Linked DNA regions of Drosophila melanogaster. The protein of the gene in region 1 interacts with the protein of each later gene in a biochemical or structural test. Each region holds a gene or a part of one and is shown in the gene's direction. Other genes may lie near its edges. The genes, in order: dpr2 and DIP-eta.

What was found.
Region 2: the proteins of dpr2 (region 1) and DIP-eta form a complex in vitro, tested with the Drosophila melanogaster proteins (one study listed by BioGRID).

Annotation. Positions count from the first base shown.
Region 1 is NT_033779.5:10,960,959-10,965,901, reverse strand, and holds the start of dpr2 (defective proboscis extension response 2), read left to right. Parts: upstream 1-1,748; 5' UTR 1,749-2,676; intron 2,677-4,534; 5' UTR 4,535-4,677; coding exon 4,678-4,816; intron 4,817-4,943. Other genes in the region: Tmem214 (transmembrane protein 214), read left to right, coding at 1-110, 183-297.
Region 2 is NT_033779.5:5,614,925-5,619,970, reverse strand, and holds the start of DIP-eta (Dpr-interacting protein eta), read left to right. Parts: upstream 1-2,024; 5' UTR 2,025-2,316; intron 2,317-4,309; exon of another isoform or gene 4,310-4,741; intron 4,742-5,046.

The DNA of each region.
Region 1 (4,943 bases):
TACGTGCCCAATTCGTCTGGCAAAATCGAAGCTTTTGCCGCTGGCGTTAGCGATTTAGCCGCCAGCAGCTATGAAAAGGCTGCAGCGCTCATCAAGGAAAAGGTGCTTGTGTAAGTATGCCTGCCTGCCTGGCCTTTGTTGTCTTTGAGAATGCATCCCTTATGATTGTGATCTTTGTTTAGTGGCCGTCTCTCGCCCGAGAACATCAATCAGGCGCTGAACCAGACGCGTAACGCCGCCCTGGAGTACTACAACCAGTTTCACAAAAAGGTCGACGCATACGCCAAGCTCAAATGATTTTAAGCGTCAGGAACGCTTACTTCTCGAACAGCAACATCATCAGCAGCTGCAGCAGATGCAAACAGAATACGCGTCATAGTAAATAGTGAAGGAAGCCCTAATTTTTCGCAAAAAGTTAAAAAACCGGAAAATGTTCTATAAGTCGAAACTCAAGAAGTCATTCACATTTATCAACAACTTCTCGTCAAGTTTAATTAAGAAAAAGCAATACGAGCAAATCTTTGTGGATGCCGATAGTACACTAACAATCTAGTAAATTCAACCTCGATACTGATAAATTAGTGAAAGACACGAGAAATTTTCTGTTGTAAAACATGTGTTTAAACATTTTTCTCCAAGTTGAGAAAACATTATTTTTAAATTCGTTTACAACGGCATGAGAGTTTTGTGAAAAGTTCTACCATTGAAATTTTGTAATTGTAATTATTAAAGTGCGTTTTTTGTGGCGATGCGCGAAGTGTTAACTCTATTGTGTTAACTGAACTTAACAATTCCAACTGCATTTTGAAGGCAAACAATAGATTCAAATATTTTTATACTTTTATTCATAGTTTTCTTGCATTTGTGTGTACATTTCTGTAGACTCCTCCCCAATACTTGCATAATAGCGCGATACTTTTGATTTGATTTTAAATCTCATTTGTATATTTAATGGAAAACACGATTTTGCATAAATAAAATAAAATTGAAAGATGTGAAGTAAAGGCGTATTTCTCAATGTTTTTCTGTGCTTGATTATGTTTTTGGGGGCATATTGATGAATCGTAAGATTCTGAACACACCTGTTGGCATTGGCAGCATGGCTTGCACTACACACTTGTTTAAATTGGAAAAGCGGCTTGAAAGCAGTTTTTATTTCCCAAAAGAGACTAGAATTTAGATCAGTAATATTTCCTGGGCAATTTTTCTAGAACAGTTCTCTCGAAACTAAGCAGTTCAAATGTTTTGCAAGCAGTCCAAGAACTAAAATTTCCCTAGGTTTTTGTTACCCATATAAGCAGTGAAGAGAAATTCCTAAGCAGTGTATCATAATTCAAAGCAGTGCAAACAACAAAAAATTGTTGCGTATTTGAAAAATAACACCTTTAAAGTTGAAGAAGTTTTAATTATATTTCTAAAATATTTATAAGCTTTGGTATCTTCATGAAATGGCATGATTGGATAGAATCTTTTCCTAATTGGTACAACAAAGTAGGGTTCTCATTATAGTTGCTTAAATTCTCCCCGCAAAATTTCCCTTTTAGACGTTCATCTTGGAGACAGTCGCCCCTTCAAATACAAGGATTTTCCCGAATTCGCCGCAAAGTCACCCGTTTTCGGAGTGCGGGAGTGACAATAACAACCAACTCGTCGTCCTGTTCGTGGCTGGCAGGACTCGGTTCACATCGGAACGATTACTTGCAGCGCGGAGGAAACAACAATACGGAAAAGCTCCGGCCTCGGATGCCGCAGTATCAAATGAATTTCAAGTCGCGGCGCACGTGTTTCGTCCTTTGGCGCGGATGTGACTACGAGTCCTTATCGCAGATTGTGGTCCTGGCCACGAAAGGATATCTCGTAGTTGCCGCATTCGATAGCGGTGTCGCGGTTTCCCAACTTTCCCAACTGCCGCATCTGTTTTTTCAACTTGTGCGCGAGACGACACTAAGATCGTTCGGCTTCGATTTCGCTCAGTGTATAATGCTCTTGAGGCAAAAGTGAAGTTTCGAATTGGAGGCCGCTTTATGCGGCCAGTGAAAGATATTGTCCCCTGAATTAATTGTCTGTTAAAAACTAACATTGGATGTTTAAATGGTTAAATTCATGGGAAATATTCGCCCTGCTGCTGCTGACACCAAAATTGAGTCGAATAACAGCTTTAAGTACATTAATATTAACCCACCCACACTGCTCTTTCGCATTCAATGTGGCTCGATTTTCCCTCCTCGAAAAGTGGAGCACAGATAAATCAGAGAAAAACATTTATTTCTCATCGGAAATGAACTCGGACGGGCGACGTGATTTAATGCCAATCGAAAATGCATTTGTTACTCAGGTTTCTTGCAAATTATACGCTTAGCGATAGGATTGAAACACAGAAAACAAAACACATTTTTTACAGACTTCAACTGAAACTCCAGACAGTTGCATAAACAACAACCAAGAGTTTCGTGCAAAAATAAATGTTAAATCAAAGTTTTTCCAAGTTGAGATGGAAGTTTTTCCAAGTTCTTCTTCGCCTTATCTGCTTTTGAAGTTCACTCGCATTTTTCCTCTGAAATCCAGGGCAGAATGAAAAATCGGAAATATGTACCTAATGAGCACGTGTGTTACGGATTGACTTTGAAGTGAGTCCTCATTTCTAATGAGTTCTTGTGGTGATATGAAGTAGGAAAGGTAATTAATTCACTAAACCACAAAAAAGTTAATGAGGTGATGCGGAAAGGTCAAAGTTGTTCCGTCAATAAATAAACTTTCCACAGACAGTCAATAATTGGTGTAGTTTTGGACTTTTAAAACTTTTGCAAACATGTACACATCCATTTGTTAGCACTGGCTTTGATTTAAAGCATTTTTTGCACATATTATACTATATAATAAAGTATAATTACATTTAATATTTAAGCAAAAAGGCAAAAGGCCGACCTTGTTTTAGTAAAAACTCGTTAAGTACGACAGTAAAAAAAATTTTAAGGAAAACTTCTTGGACAATTTGCCAGCTGCCTTTAAAAGGACTCGACAAAGGCCAAGGACCTCGCAGGACTCTTTGCATGTGGCATTAATTAAGTGCCGCTTGAGGGAATAGTATTAGATGAGCTTGTCTCTCATTAATCTTATAACCTTATAAAGAATGGCTTGAATAGGGAATAGCAGTATATACATATGTCCGGGGACAGCCCCCAAAAAAAGAAGACATTGAAATCGAACCGTTTTCCTCGCTCTTTTGGCCGCCTTTCGTGTTTTTCTAATTGAATTTTCTTTCGAGCTTTATGCCTTGACTTTTCTCCTTAAAGATCAAGTGGTCTCCAGGTGCTTTTGTGGCTTTTTGGCCGGGTGTCCAGGTGATTAATGTGCAACCAGGTTTGCTTAATTAACTTGCATTTATGCCTGAAGTACACAACGGAAGACAAAAGCCAGTTGCTAAATTTGATAAGTGGGCTTAGTTGAATTTGAGTGACTCTGCCATAGAAGTACAATATATATCATTAATTAACAGCAGACTGTACTTGTGGCACTTAAAATGGACTAGCCTAAAATTATAAATGCATCATTATCGCGATGAAAGTTTGGCATTAAATTATCCAAAAAGTAACAATACATATCCAAAACCACTAAATTCAATTAACCAACGATGCCATGAAAATAACAATTGCAGTGCGCATTTTAAGCTGATTCCATGTTAATTTTACCACCATTGTTTGATTGGCATCGCAACAAACAACAACTCATTACACAACTCCAGCAACGGTTGAAATCATTTAAGTGCTGTGGTAATGATAACTGAAGGGTGGGTCGAAGGGCATGGAATCGATATTTATTGAATACAATATCTCTTGGATCGTTCGTGGAGCACGATTGTAACGTGAAACAAAGCGCAGTTTGTGGAGAAATTAACATTTTAATTGGTTTTTGACCCTTGCACATTTCGTGAGTGATCAAGGCTACACCTTTCAGTTGCACAATTTATGTGTTTTATGGCCAAATAAAAAACTATTTGAGTGCGGCTTGCGGGTTGTAAATATACAAATTGCGTTGGTTAAAACTGCTCCTGTGACATGGTGGCGATAAGCAACTTGCCACTACAGACAATATATGAGGGCTTAACAAATACAAACGTAAACATTCCGAAAATGTAAAAATAAATTAATGCCGTTGCAATTTGATACAGGATAAATGATGTGAATGAAGGACATTTATAATGAAGGCCTACGGTTAATATCAATGTTTGCTTCAGTTAAATGCTGTACGAACATGGAATTCGATGGACGAAATTGGTTTTTCACATACCCCAACTATAAACTTGGCTATATATGGCTTGAATCCTTTAGAATTTGCAAAAAAATATAACTATTTAATTATATTCTTGTCACAAAAAAAAAAAAAACACTTTTATAATTTTTCAATGATTTATGTTAAGTTAGGCAGCAGTGCAATGAATGGCTGCAATAATTCAAATTAATTCATTTCAAGTGCTTTTCATGAATATTTCACAAATAATAGCGTTAATGAAAATGTTTCCTCCCTCTCTTTATAGAATGCACTTCAAAAACGATTTAGGAACCAAACCATTAGCAGTAATGTAAACCAAAATACGTAAACTTGTGGGGCTAAATTACACTCATCTAACCGCCATTGAGGTGAATAAATATAAATAAGTAAGATCCGGCTCGCAGGACCATGGCTATGGAGGGAAAATGCTTCGGTTGCATCGCAACGCCAATCCTCGTAATAATGATAAGCATTTCGAGAGCTTGGACAATGCAACAACAACACTTGAGTCCTGCCATCCAACAACATCCTGCAGTCAAATCGTTGTGTAAGTAGATCTCACTCGCAATTCACACATGTTCAATTTAATAGTGCACATATAAAAGCATATTTCAATACCATCTCTAAGATATGAATTATGAATGTATGTGCTATAAATTAACAATGACCAACGG
Region 2 (5,046 bases), 5.3 Mb from region 1:
TGTCGTCGTCGCATCCAGCGAAAAACGCGGAAGCGAGTGAAAAGCAATTATCAGGTGTCAAAATTTATATTAGGGGCTTGCAAGCTCGTAAAAGGATACCAGCCAGGAAGCAAGGCAAAGGAAACAAAGCAAGAAACTTGAAAACAAGTTGCTAGTCCTCCCAGTCCCTATATACTGAGAGAAAATAGTTCAAATAGTTGAATAGTCAAATTTATAAATCCATCGTTGAACATAACGTAATATTTCATTAAAGTGTATTTGTTCTTGAATAATTCTAATATGTAATCTCTTTGATTTTAATTTAAAATAATCAACTTTCTTTCTTCGAGTGTAGAGCTAACCCTTTTGGTAAAAATGATTTGTGGCTCCAGTGCATTGGCACGCAATGAAAAGTTTTCGATGGAGAAATGGAGCGGGATAGATAGTTCCTTCCAGGGACGCTTTATAAATCCTTTTTATACGTCATAAAATCTGTTATTGGTGGGTTTCTACTGTTTCCATCGCTATTATTTATTGGTCGTGTGCGTGTGTTGTGCGAAATTATATGCCTGTTATAAAGACGCGATAGGGAAAGGGGGCGGGAGTTGATTAGCTCCCGAAATATATATATATATATATAAGTATATATGAGCAATTTAGAGTTGCAGAGGGCGGTGGCCAGGTCAAAACGGTGCCTGACACAATGTGGCACGGTTATTGAAAAGCGACTGGCTGGTGTGCGTGTGTGGGTGGGTGACTTTCCTGCCTCGCTTGTTGCACTTGCCACACATAATGGAAATCTCCAAAGAAAAGTTTCACCAAGCAGAAGAAATTTAATTAAATAATGTATCATAGCGAACGGACTTTGAAGCATTTTTGAATCGATCGCAGTCAATTTTTAGTTGCATATTTCAAAGTATTGGGGGCACTAATATATTTAATAACAATCAAAACTGACTCGGAACGATGCAGGCGAATTTTATTAAATAATATTTCATGCTGAACGACTTTGTTATATCGTTTTATATAAATAAGACGGCCTAGTAAAGCACTAATTTAATTTTAAAAATTTTATTTCAATTCTTAGTTGGAAAGAACTTTGTTTCTGCATATATACTACAAATTATATCGTTAGAAAATTTTTGTTTGAGAATTTCAAACAGATTTCAGTTAGATGTAAGATTGGCCTTAGTTACGTCTTTAAATTTATGGAAACTATTTCTTGCGAACCATTGAAACATTGTTTTTTATCAATACATACTTAAATTTAAAGCATAATTTTCTGATAATGATTGATTTATATTAAATGAATCCCGTAAAAGAGATCCAAAATAGAAGACAGCGAAAGATCATCTTGCAGATGGCTTCCATTCCATTTTCTTCTACCTACAAGTCAAAATATATAGTATTTTCCTATGGCAATAATCTGTTGTACTTATTGCAGTTGTCAGAATTGCAAGTGATAATTCCCTCTCTCATATTCAAGCGCCACGACCAATGACAATTCATTTCTTCATCTCACACAGTTACTTACTATCAGCACCCCCTCTCACCATCACCATCCCTTCACCCAACCCAAAAAGGGTTAACCCTTTCCTTTGCCACAGATTTCATTCATAAATGCGAGCCACCAGTTTCACGCGCCCAAAAGTATGGCGAGAGAATTTCCCAGGCTTTCAATGCCATTCAATTCGTATTCAACCGAGCCGAGAGCGCGCCCCCCATTGGGCAGCACACGCACACACACACGCGCAGAGCATGTTAGGAAAAAAGAAGCACCACGAAGTGAAAAGCGCCCGCCAACAAAAAGCAAAATAAAATGTGGCCCAGCAACAACAAAAATCACAGTTGTCTGATTCGTTCGCGAGGCCGCTGCCCACCCCCCGGGCGCCCACTAAAAAACACCACCCACCCACTGGGGCGCCCACACTCCCCCCAAAACCCCCCAAAACGACGACGATTCGCCAAAGGAGCATCTTCGGCATCGCTCGGCAGTCGCTGGGAGTCGTTCCACGCGACTTTGGTGGCCCTCGGAAATGCTGGCTTCAGTACATCGACGGCGCTCGGTTCGTGCGGTTGGCCTTTAGTCCTTCGAATCCTGCTGCATACAAGCAAGCAGAATCCCTAACGGAATCGCGTGTGTTTTTTGCCGCCAAGTGTTGCATTCGTGCTGCAAGTGAATCGAAGTGATGCTGTAGACGCCATGAGTGACTTGTGCTGAGCGAATTTCTCGACAGGATTTAAAAAAAAAAAAATCAGGACAGCTCAGCCGCAGGACATGTGCAATTTGGAGTTTCACGAAAAATACAAGATTGCCAAGAAAATGCTCTGAAAAAGGTTGTTATGCTGCAGCTATTAAGTTAAATGCGAACTTCCATTAAAATCTGCATGCAAGACTATTGAAAGAAAGCAAGGAATCCTTTTTCTAATCGCTGGCTGTGATTGCGGCCAGTGAAGGCATTCGAAAATAGTTTGGCAGCGATTTCGGCCAGGTCAAATCGACAACAAGTAGAATTCGCTCGCGTGTTGAGTCGCGCGCGTTTTTAGCCGCTTGTTGGCAATTTAGCCGCGATTTTGGCGACATTTGCCGTCAGCTGCGTGTTTGCTGTAATTATATTTAAAGTAAAAACAAAGCCCGAGTTATTTATGAAGCAACAACAATCGGGCCACCCTCGGCGGTCAATGCTCGTCACATGATTTGCCATTCCAGCTGCATGCGTGTCTGTGTGTGTGTGTGTGTGTATCGTGAAATTTGCCTACAAATGTGAATGTGTCTGGCGCGCCACTCGACGCTGTTTATTACGAGTGTCCCCGTATGGCAGGAGTGCACTGTTTAGGCCACATGGGCAACAATTGCATATTTTATGTTTCACGGCTGCCCGAGTGTAATTTAAAGTTCATTGATATCCATAAAGCGCAGGACAAACCCTCGACGCTTCATGCCAATTTGCTGTCTAGCTGGCTAGCCATTTGTTGCAAATATGTTGCAGCGCTTTTGGGACGAACCGGAAATAATATGTGTACAGTGTACACTGTACAACCCACATTCGGTGGTTTTCCCCCGGGGTGGCATGATGGTGCCTGTTTTCGATTTATGGCGTTTCTCTATCATTTGCATTTTACATATAATTTCTGATCAGTTGTTATCTGCTCGATTGTGATTTCAGTTGGCGCCCACAGCCGAATGTGCACTGTCTACTGACGCTCCAGGTGGGGCCGAGTGGTATACATATATGTATATTATGGAAATTAAAACATGTTGACTCAAGATTGAAAACCCTGTTGTTCTGCTGCGAAATCGTAATCCCCTTAATCCGAATTCCCCCGCCTGCTCCGGTATCAATTGCATAAGAAGAATTCCAATTGCCCCCGGAGCGATAACGAAATGGTTGGCAAGGCCTCGTCGTTCAGTCGGCTTGACATAATGGCCGGCATGTGAGGAGTTGGATTTTTCCTGCCATTGTTGTTGCTGTTGTTAATAACAAGCGATAATAATCAACTTCCGTGCTGGAAAGCGAGCGGAGGAGAAAATTGTGAAAAACCGAGCGAAACTCTGATTTCTAGAAGGCGCTGCCAGCCTGAACACTATGAGTTATGCAAATTTTATGCAAGGTCCGGTTAACTGGGCTGCCCTTTTCTGGGCCGGATTAAAAAAAATTTAAAAAGCTAGACGGCGAATAATTCTGAAAAATGTCGAAGTGGCATCGCGATAGAGCGGGATATTTATCACGTGTTAATTAATGTTTGCGCTGGAAATTGAATTTAAAGTATAGCTCGAGAAGTCTGGTAGTAGTAGCGAATGACATTTCAGTTGAAGCTTCTACATGTCAGCATTATTGTTTTAAAGGGAAAAATGCAAAAGGTGCTTCAAGCAAACTGTCGGGGGGGTTACTGAAAATTTGCCATAATTCAGCAGCTGATTATACACATTGAAGCGTTGGAGAAAAAGGGACCGTGCATGTCCGAAACCATAAAAATAATATATGGCTTGAACACTACAAAGGTGCCATGAGCACCTCTTATTATTTGTCATAAATATTTTCTTTTTTTGCTTTTTCATAAGTTGTACTTAAAGCTGGTAACAAAATAAGTACAGGAAAAGGATTTAGAAACATCCAAATTGAAATAAATTACACATTTGCTTGGAAAATTGCTTGTGGTCAATTTAGGCATTCATCACATTGCTCGATTGAATTTTCGCTTTGTTTAAATACTTTCCATTATTTATTACAAAATATTTTCAATTTTATATAATTACAGAAGAATGTGAAACACAATATATATTATATATGCTTGAATGAATGAAGATATTTTGTCAGTGTAGGCTGTTGTGCCAATTTAGAAAAGCAAAACTTTTAACTCGTGATAATTAATAAACATCAGTGATCTACATCGCCATCAATATCCAATGGCACCAAACATCCAAGAGCTGCCCACCAGAAGCGGGAAGGTACTTTCGACACAATCGCCTCGATATGGCTTCGGATTGTGGTCAGGCCGTGGGCCTGAAGCCTGAAGCCATCACCTGTCCCTGACTCCGAGTCCGACTCCTGACGTGGCCCGCATGCTCTAAATTATTAATAATATTGCCAGGCCCATTTGCTAGACATTTTTAGTGCCTACCGCCGTTCCAGGCCAACCGCCACCCCCTCCCTGTAACCATTTGCAGTGCTGTCGTTTGCCTGTTGTCTTTTGTAGTCTACTTTTCTGGGCATGCAATGCGGATTTAAATGTGTGAGTGTATGGGTGTGTGTGTGTATGTGTGTATGACAAAGGACACATAGCACACATGCCGGCAACTTTGCTTTCAATTCCGCTAAATTATGAAAAAATCAATACGAACTCGAAGGGAGGGGACAAGGAATTTTAATGAAATGTCAGTTTAAAATGGTTCCTGTCAGTTTGCGGCCGCCAGAAAGTAGACTTTTATTTTTCCAAAACCCGAAATCGTTTGCATGTTCAGGCTCATGGCCGAGTCAGCTGGAAAGTTAATCAAGGTTCCCCAATCATAAGGGCGGACTTTCGAACATATTGATATCTGCGTCTGGCAGCAGGCACCCTTCTATT